2 linked regions of the Arabidopsis thaliana genome follow. The protein of the gene in region 2 purifies or fractionates together with the protein of the main gene of each other region. This does not show direct contact. Each region holds a gene or a part of one and is shown on either strand. Other genes may lie near its edges.

Region 1 (6,076 bases), on a different chromosome or scaffold from region 2:
ATAGCCACCTAACCAAATCTGTGAACGGCGTTACTTTCAAATAACAAATACTAACAGAAATATCATTGTAGATAAGACTTTAGGGTCTTCGATCGACATATAATAAAGATAAGGTTTGGGACCCTTTCAAGCTTTTTTTCGGTGTCGGCAATGAAGTTTTACGTCGAGGTGGCATTAACAACTGGACAACGGCTTTTTGTTTTGTTTTGGGGTCTCTTTTGTCTTGTGAATAACAACTTTTATCACATTCGCATAAATTATATATAGATTTATGAATTTATTCTCCCAAATTAATGGTTTGTCTCAGTGGAAATCTACTGTTTTGTCCAGTGACTTGTGTTATCTATTTAATTCAGTTGGATGCCAAAAATAACATATATTTTCGATCTATCTATTGTGGATTTTACCCGATCGACATAAAAGGAATTAAGGACCGGTATTGGACCAATATTACATGACTGGTCATGCATGGAAACACACCAAACAAAACAATAAATTTTCTTTGTATAAAAAAAGAAAACCAATAATTTATTTATCTTCTGATTAAAATATGGCGAAGAGATATACACTAGTATTAAAATTTAAAACAATAGAATGAGGTAAAACATAAATACAGCATGTCGTGGACGTCTTTCGATTGTTTTTAGTTCTTTTTTTTTGGTTTTATATTTCAAAACTTGTTGAAACTGCATAAAAGTTTTTTTTTTGTGTGGATCCCCGTAATTTTTATTCTACACACGTACAAGACAATTTTTTCTTACGTAAACTATACAAACATATAAAGTGCATGTGACTGGTGAATGCTTATAATAAAATACAAATAAAATAATGTGTGATTGGTGGAATATTTAGAGTAAAAGAAGAATGAATATAGAGGAATATTGATATTGGAGGAAATAAAAATATGAATTAGAGTACCCAAATAACTGGTATTCCCTACAAGCAGTCAACAAAACTAAGGAAAAAAAAACCAAGGAAAAAAGAAGAAAAAATTGTTTTGTTTCTGTTGAGTGGACAAGTTATGAGATTAGAATTCAAATATCCGTTCAAGTTAAAGCATGGAATCACGAATGCTCCACATCTCAAAGAAGAAATTGAACTCTTTCTAATCTTAGAATTCAAAGAAACGTAGAGGAGTCTGATGAGATGTGGTTGGTTGCTATTACCTCTGATTGAATTTGATCACATACAAAATAACATTCGATCTTGATGTGTTTCGTAGGCTTTTGTGTAAAATCAGATGCATATATTTGTTTCAAGGGTCGTCTCCACTAGAGTAAAATGACGCATATCATCAAGAATGCTTTTCCACCACATTACTTACGACACAGTCAATATTCAACTTCGACATAAACGAACCTATTTCGCAAATTGTTTATGAGTTATTCAAATTATGTAAATTTAATATACTATCATATATTTTATAAAGATGTCTATTAAGTAAAAGGATGAAAACATATATTATTTGAAAAACCGGATTTCAGATGAAATTACTAGTTTAAATCAAAATATGCTTTGATTTATATAGTAATACAAGTATTTTTTTGAACTTAAATTGTTATATGATTGATATGTCACCATAACCGTAAATATTTGCGAAATAAAGGTAATTTCTTACCATATGTTTTTCCAAATATTAAGAGATACATTAAACATGTCATACTGATCAAAGATCTCTAAGTAGTAGTAAATAAGGTTTACGAGTACTTTTTTGAAACAAACCTAGAAAATAGAAGGGAATAGAAGAAACTTCAAAAGCACAAAAAGAGAAAAATCCAAAGAATAATTTATTATACAATAAAATAAAAACGTATAAAAAAGGGAACAAAATGGGTAAAGAGAGGAGGAGGAGGACCCTGAAGTAGGGTTAAAAAATCCATCTCCTTTGGTGTCTCTATCATCAACACCTGTCGGCCTTGTCACTTAAACACGCTCTTCACTCTCTTCTCACACACCTCTCCTTCTCCTTCTCCCACCATTTAATCAATTCCACAATATTCAATTTTTCCAGTCTCCTCCGTTACACAATTCCACAAAGAGATTAAACAAACAATAGAAAAATATCTTCCTTTCTTTTTCTGTGAATACACCAATAAAGTGACAAAAGAAAAAGCCTGTCTTCTCTCACCTGTAATTACCAGAAGACAATATAAACTGTTACTTTCCTTCTTTTGTTGTACCCCTTTAAAAACGGCTACTTTAGAGAACTTGAGAAGATTTAGAAAGAAACAGAGAGCTTGAGAGATTCCTCTGGCTAAACCCAGATGGAGTTTGGATCTTTTCTTGTGTCCTTAGGGACATCTTTTGTTATCTTCGTCATTCTCATGCTTCTCTTCACCTGGCTTTCTCGCAAATCTGGAAATGCTCCCATTTATTACCCGAATCGGATCCTTAAAGGGCTGGAGCCATGGGAAGGCACCTCCTTGACTCGAAACCCTTTTGCTTGGATGCGTGAAGCTTTGACTTCCTCTGAACAAGATGTCGTTAACTTATCCGGCGTCGATACTGCTGTCCACTTTGTCTTCTTGAGCACTGGTTCGATCTCAATCTCTCTCTGTTCATCTCTGTTCTCTGTTACTTTAGTGGTTCCAATTCAAGGGTTTGGTGGAATTCTGCTGATTTCTGTTGGTTTTGATTTGGGTTTGAGATTTAACCTAATAAAGTTTCGATCTTTAGAGACAATTGGGGGAAAAAACGTTTCAAAATGGAAACTTTTTTGTTTGTAAATTGCTGGCTCTGACTATTTTGTTTGCTATGTTATGTTATCTCTGTTTTACTTTTAGACATTGGTGATTGAAATTAGAATCAGTAGATAGAACTTTTTGAAGTCTATATATACGAGCCAGTGATTTTGGTGAAGGTAAAGTGTTTATGATGTCTTGAAAATTGGCTTTTGTTTGATGCAGTTCTGGGGATATTTGCTTGTTCCAGTCTTCTTCTCCTACCAACTCTACTGCCTCTAGCCGCTACAGACAACAACATAAAGAACACAAAGAATGCGACAGATACCACAAGCAAAGGAACTTTTAGCCAACTTGATAATCTATCAATGGCTAACATCACAGTAAGTAAACACAACAATAACTCCATTCTGCCTATTGATTCATTTTCAGTTTTTGATAGTCTAAAGCAAAATGTGTATCCTTTCATTTGAACAGAAAAAAAGTTCGAGGCTGTGGGCGTTCCTAGGAGCTGTTTACTGGATATCTTTGGTCACATATTTCTTCTTGTGGAAAGCTTATAAGCATGTCTCTTCATTGAGAGCTCAAGCTCTGATGTCTGCTGATGTAAAACCCGAGCAATTCGCTATTCTTGTTAGGGATATGCCTGCACCACCTGACGGGCAGACACAGAAAGAGTTTATTGATTCTTATTTCAGAGAAATATACCCTGAGACATTCTACAGATCGCTTGTCGCAACAGAAAACAGCAAGGTATCTACTTGTTCTGGCCTAAGAAAGTCATATGTTTTAAGGTTTTAGGCATCATAATGTTAATATGTTAACCTTTGCTCTTTGTTGTGTTGTATAGGTTAATAAAATATGGGAAAAATTGGAAGGTTACAAGAAGAAGCTTGCGCGAGCAGAAGCAATATTAGCAGCAACTAATAACCGTCCCACGAACAAAACCGGCTTCTGTGGGCTAGTCGGTAAACAAGTAGACAGCATTGAGTATTACACTGAGCTAATCAACGAGTCTGTAGCCAAACTGGAAACAGAGCAGAAAGCGGTTCTTGCTGAGAAGCAGCAAACCGCAGCAGTGGTTTTCTTCACAACCAGGGTTGCTGCTGCATCAGCAGCTCAGTCTCTGCACTGCCAGATGGTTGATAAATGGACTGTGACCGAAGCTCCTGAGCCACGGCAGCTCCTATGGCAGAATCTCAACATCAAGCTCTTCAGCAGAATAATCCGGCAATACTTCATCTACTTCTTTGTTGCAGTGACCATTCTGTTTTACATGATACCAATCGCGTTCGTCTCTGCCATCACCACTCTTAAGAATCTTCAGAGGATTATTCCGTTCATAAAGCCGGTTGTGGAGATAACCGCCATAAGAACCGTTTTGGAGTCTTTCCTTCCTCAGATTGCGCTCATTGTTTTCTTGGCCATGTTGCCGAAGCTTCTCTTGTTTCTCTCCAAAGCCGAGGGGATTCCTTCACAGAGCCATGCCATTAGGGCTGCTTCAGGGAAGTACTTTTACTTCTCGGTCTTTAATGTCTTCATTGGTGTTACCCTTGCTGGGACTTTGTTCAACACAGTGAAGGATATCGCGAAAAATCCCAAACTCGACATGATTATTAACCTTTTGGCTACTAGCCTCCCTAAGAGCGCAACTTTCTTCCTGACCTACGTTGCTCTCAAGTGAGATTTTGGTCTTCTTGACTTAAATAGCATATGTATTGTTCGTTTGTTCCCTAAATCTTATGTTGATGATTTTTTTTCAGGTTCTTTATCGGTTATGGCCTTGAGCTGTCTCGGATCATACCTTTGATAATCTTCCACCTGAAAAAGAAGTATCTCTGCAAAACCGAAGCGGAGGTCAAAGAAGCTTGGTACCCGGGAGACTTAAGCTATGCGACTAGGGTTCCCGGAGACATGCTCATCCTCACAATCACGTTCTGCTATTCAGTCATTGCTCCTCTTATCCTCATATTCGGCATCACCTACTTTGGTTTAGGCTGGCTAGTCCTCAGGAATCAGGTCAGACTTTCTCTCTATTTACTATACCCATAAACACTTAGGTTATCAAAAATGTGATCTTGAACTGTTTTATTTCGGGGTATGACAGGCGTTGAAAGTGTACGTTCCATCATACGAGAGCTATGGAAGAATGTGGCCGCATATTCACCAGCGCATACTAGCAGCGTTGTTTCTATTCCAAGTGGTAATGTTTGGCTACTTAGGAGCCAAGACATTCTTCTACACGGCCCTTGTGATCCCTCTCATTATCACCTCTCTCATCTTCGGATATGTGTGCCGCCAGAAATTCTACGGAGGGTTCGAACACACAGCTCTCGAGGTAGCTTGCCGTGAGCTGAAGCAGAGTCCAGACCTAGAGGAGATTTTCAGAGCATACATTCCGCATAGCTTGAGCTCTCACAAACCAGAAGAACACGAGTTCAAAGGCGCAATGTCTCGTTATCAAGATTTCAACGCAATAGCAGGCGTTTAAAATTTGAATCCAATCCCCAAATTATCTCATAGATTTGTTTTGCTGGTTTTTTAGAAGCTTTTATTGTTATGTGTGTGAATTTTAGGGTTTGTTTAGGATTCTTCTTTGTATGTGTTCCATGGTTGTTGTAACTTGTAACTTTGTAAGCTACTTTTAAACATCAACTTGATTTTTCATCATTAATATTCTTCTACTCTGATGTTCTGATTTCTTTAGCTGATGCAAATTGTATTTAAAGTAGTTTCAAACATATATACATTATTGTCACAGCTTGATCTATATTCATTGAACTGAAATGTTGTAACCAAAATTCACAAGGACTAAAGATTCAAGAAAACGAATGAATGGAATGGAAAATAAATTTATTTCTCATAAGCTATAAATAGGTTTTGGTCCGGTCGGTAACGGAGAGGGAATGTCTTCAGGTGCACGGACAGGCTTCACCCACCGGCCAGTCTGTTTGTTAAGGATCAGACCCTTATGTGCCACTTGGTACCAAAACTCAGGTATTCTTAGATGATCCAACAACATATCTGTGCTCTTGTTCACCGAAGCAACGTCTCTCCTAGCGTTAACCCTAAACCCAGATTTCTTGCGGTGGAAGCCATCCAAAACATGGAGATACACCTCTAGATTATGAGCCCTCCCTAAGTCTGAATCACGTTTTACGTAAGGCGAACTGAAGACATCGAGTTTAAGCTGCGTTCCGACATGCCTGTAGACCCAATTGAGCCTTGAAGTTATCGGATTAAGTTTGTTAAGTACCTTGTTGAACACGATACCAGGTAGCTTAGGTACAATGTCTTGCTTGTTCACCACACGTAACACCTTAACTCCTAAACTGTTTAGCTTTTCCTTGAATGCCAAGTTACCTACCCTCGGCGCACCAAACGAGATCACTGAA
Region 2 (4,359 bases):
GTATGTATATATACATCCATTTCTGACTCATGTGGCCCTATTTTGGAGTGAGGTTTTAGTCAAAAACTCTAACAATACATTCCACGCGTTGAACAAGAAAACCAAACCGGGTCAATTTCAATTTTAGTGAGAAGAAAATACCAAGAGGTTCTTGGTCCCTTTGAGAAAAGCAGAGTACCAAAGTGCAAATTCAAGTTAATTGACAAATGTGAAAGAGACTTAAGAATTGAGACTTATTAAAGAGACTAAGAGAGTGATAAACCCCTTAAATAATGTATTGAGAAACCCTTACCTTTGTGGCTTTGTGACACTGGTTTGTATGGTTGTGGCGGACAAATTCGTTTGCGGATTGAACCATTTTATATATTATAGTCCGTAAGAGTATGGATTGAGACAAATAGAAGAAATCCGTCGTGGACCAATTTATATAAAATAAACTTGATTTGGGGTGGATTGTTGTATGTCCCAAAAATAGAGTAACGCTCCAAAACTAAATAACACCAAAAGAATTAAGAATGCACACGATCTCTTAGTTGTCTTTAGTCTTAACTAACCATATCACTTGACTACAAAAAATAAAAAGACACACTCACGTTGAGAAACTGATGAAGCTGAACGATCTGTCTTCTTTGATTTGATCTTTCTTATTTTTTCGTGAACAATCTCTAAAATATTCCCATTAAGGCATTAACCATGTGAAAACACTTGTACGTGTGGACTATATAGTTCACGTGTGTATGAGTACGGGAGCATTGAATAATTATCGCTACGGCAACCACAAATAAATTGATGTGAACAACGCTGAATACTTTCCATTTTTCAACTTTGTCTAGTAAAAAATTACTAAAATAATGTTCCAATTATGGTTTTTAGTGAACATCTTATTGTCATTGGTGATTCGATAATAGATGCTACGAGACATGTTATTTGTTCTTGGAAGAAAGAGGTACGTAAATTCTCAAAAGGGTCTTTCAGTGTAAAGAGGCAGCTTTGACTTTGCTAACACAAAAAGTCTCCATATGATTATTTTCTTTTTCTTTTCAGAAGTTAATATTCTCAATTTCTCATAAACATTTTCAATTCTTTCTTTTGTTATTGGTTGAATAATTTTGTTGAGTTTTATAAATGATGTTTTAATGTGAAAACCAAGAAACAATTGATCATTTAATTAGTTTCTTGATTAGTGTGCTAAAACCTTAAACATCAACTAAGATCAAAAAGAGATTAGGTAGTTGTGGTCAACCACCTTTGATGATAACTTTCTCATTTCTAGTTTTCTAACTATTTTGTTCATACTGCCTTTTTTTTTTCCTTGTACTCGTAGAACACTTTTTATTTACTTACTATCACTTTGTAGTACTCTTCACAAAACACTTTTAAGTTTTCTCTAAAAAAAACTATGAGTGTAAATAATAAAAGTATACGTACTAGCGTTAAATGGCGATATTTGTAAAAATAGTTATTGTACTATTTGTATCACAAAAATTGCAAGTAGTTGATTCAAATGGTAACCTATCTATAGACGAATTGGTACCAATCGTCACCAAAAGAAATTTCAGTTATTACTACTCATTAATCCGCTAAAATCCAAGATCAATAATTCACTAAATTCTGCTATAACATTGTAACATTGTTGCTATCAATAATCAAATTATTCTATTAGCATATAATTATTAGATCCACAAAACTTATCTACTAGAGCAGAAGATTCCACCAAAAGTTGCTTCCGACCCACATATCCAATTCTTTAGGACAAAAATATTTATTACAATCTTTTAAGAGGAAAACAATGTAACATGGACACCAAAATAAAGCCGCCTTTAACGGTGACGGTAACGGTAACGGCGTTTGAGTGCTCTTGACAATACATGAAAATTTAGTAATAGAGTTAAGAAATGAAATTAATAGAGTTTGGAGTGAGACAAAGAGAGAAGAGAAGATTAGAGAGAGGAGAGGAAGGGTCAAAGAATACATAGCATCACCACTAGTCAACGCTTTTATAAAACTTCTTCTTCGTCTCCTCTCCTTCTCACATCTCTCTCTGTCTTTCTCTCTCAAACCTAACAAAAGCTTCAGACTTCAATTCTTTAGCTACCTCTCTCCCATGGCAGTAAGTGTTTTCTTTCCTTCTTTCCTTCTCCTCTTCTTCTTATTTAGGTCTAGAGCTTTCTCTCAGATTATAGTTTTTGTTTCGATTCCGTCAATCTCTGACCCTTTTTTTGGAGGATTTGTAGAAAGTTGAGTCTTAATCTATTTGCATTTATGGTTCTTCCTATTGAGATAACATTTCTATGGATTGCGATGTCTATTAGTATTCAACTTTATGATTCTGATTTGCTTTAGATAAGAAAAGGGTTTTATGAAAGTTACTATTTTTATGGTAAAGTTTCTATTTTTGCTTAGCAAAGATTTCAACTTTATCATTGTACTTGGTCGAAATCGATAAACCCAATTTGTATTTGTTCTGTTTTGGATTCTTAAGTGAATTTGCTATCTTGTTTCTGTGATGATTGTTCTTTAGGATGTTATGTTATTGAATGTTTTGTGGAAGGACATTGTTGTTGAATTGTTTGTTGCAACAGCGTTCGAATGTACCAAAATTTGGAAACTGGGAAGCTGAGGAGAATGTTCCTTACACAGCTTACTTTGACAAAGCTCGTAAGACTCGAGCACCCGGTAGCAAGATCATGAACCCGAATGACCCGGAGTATAACTCTGACTCTCAATCACAAGCTCCTCCTCATCCTCCTTCTTCCAGAACCAAACCTGAGCAAGTTGACACGGTTAGAAGATCACGTGAGCATATGAGAAGCCGAGAAGAGAGCGAGTTGAAACAGTTTGGTGATGCTGGTGGTTCATCAAATGAAGCTGCTAACAAAAGACAAGGAAGAGCTTCTCAGAACAATAGTTATGACAACAAGTCACCTTTGCATAAGAATTCTTATGATGGTACTGGAAAATCTAGGCCTAAACCTACCAACCTTAGAGCTGATGAAAGTGTAAGAATCTCACTTTTAACCTCTAAAGTGAGAATATCTCTGTTTGTTGCTTATGTGTTGTCATCTGTTTATATATAGCCTGAAAAAGTCACAGTGGTGCCTAAATTCGGTGACTGGGACGAGAACAACCCGTCATCAGCTGACGGATACACGCATATCTTCAATAAAGTCCGTGAAGAGAGAAGTTCTGGAGCAAATGTGAGTGGATCTTCAAGAACGCCGACTCATCAAAGCTCCCGTAACCCGAACAACACTTCCTCAGTAAGACATTCTTTAAAACTCATTTTCAAGTATAATCATTAGTGAATACGTATTCAAATAGTGAGTGTGTGTTGAACATTGGTTTGTCTTGTGCAATTTGACAGTGTTGCTGCTTTGGCTTTGGAGGAAAATGAAAGGGACCGGAAGATTGTATATAGTTATCGAGAAATCAGTGTGTAATCTTGATGATTAGACATTCGTGCTTCTTTAGATGAAATAAGGCATAAGTCTCACTTGCATAAGATTTTTATAGTATAATTTTTGTATGTATATTTTGCAATTCTTCCTTAATACTTTTGGTGTTTTCATAAGACACATTCCAGTTTCGGATCTGCTTGCAGATGCATTATATCTTGCTTGGTACGGCCTGAGTGATTTGGTAACTGATTTGATATGAATCAGAGATATTTGGGTACCTCCAAGTTTGTTGTTTCTAATGTTCAAAGCCTTAACTCTGCACCACTATAAAGAAAGACCCATAACTTTTTATATAAAATCAAGATTAAGATCTTTGGAGGATGATGACTCGTATGGTCCATATGATATGGACATCAAAGAAGAACGAATTGACACTTGTTTCCTATATGGCTTTGTACAGTGTAATCAGGTTTGATTCTCCAGCTTTATGTACTTACTATTTCAGCATTCTCTATGCCCAATAATTAGACTTAAATGCAATCTTTTTAAACCCGACCTGGATGGTGAACTAGACTACTTTTTAGGTCACGGGGTCAATGGATCAACCGGATTCGACCACGGATCAATTGATTAAAATTTATTTAATATTATAGAAATTATTAGTTTGTATAAATATAAATATAAAAATAATTATACCATGGTCTAACAATAATAATAAAGTAATTAAATATTTAAATCTAACTAAAAGTCTAAAATAGTAACATATACTAAAATAGTAGGAGTAATGACGAAAATAAAATAATAAAACATCGCGAATTCAAAACAACTAATCTCGGTTGTCTCTATCACCATTCCATTCGTTTTTTTAGGCGGTATTGTGAGATTTTTGTCAAAATCTAAAATATCTTCTAAGTCTTAAGAATTAAAAAAAAAAATCTAAAAATAACCGAATAAAGTCTAA

The links.
Region 1: the proteins of RIN4 (region 2) and ERD4 purify together in Arabidopsis thaliana (affinity purification with mass spectrometry, with the first as the bait; one study listed by BioGRID). This does not show direct contact.

The regions. Positions count from the first base shown.
Region 1 is NC_003070.9:10,713,628-10,719,703, forward strand, and holds ERD4 (Early-responsive to dehydration stress protein (ERD4)), read left to right. Parts: upstream 1-1,854; 5' UTR 1,855-2,264; coding exon 2,265-2,535; intron 2,536-2,906; coding exon 2,907-3,064; intron 3,065-3,158; coding exon 3,159-3,434; intron 3,435-3,531; coding exon 3,532-4,361; intron 4,362-4,444; coding exon 4,445-4,700; intron 4,701-4,788; coding exon 4,789-5,172; 3' UTR 5,173-5,370; downstream 5,371-6,076. Other genes in the region: DLAH (alpha/beta-Hydrolases superfamily protein), read right to left, coding at 5,542-6,076. UniProt on the Arabidopsis thaliana protein: Acts as a hyperosmolarity-gated non-selective cation channel that permeates Ca(2+) ions. Mechanosensitive ion channel that converts mechanical stimuli into a flow of ions: activated in response to membrane stretch. Not activated in response to membrane poke.
Region 2 is NC_003074.8:9,130,354-9,134,712, forward strand, and holds RIN4 (RPM1 interacting protein 4), read left to right. Parts: upstream 1-1,784; 5' UTR 1,785-2,104; coding exon of another isoform or gene 2,105-2,110; 5' UTR 2,111-2,537; coding exon 2,538-2,999; intron 3,000-3,077; coding exon 3,078-3,260; intron 3,261-3,364; coding exon 3,365-3,394; 3' UTR 3,395-3,735; downstream 3,736-4,359.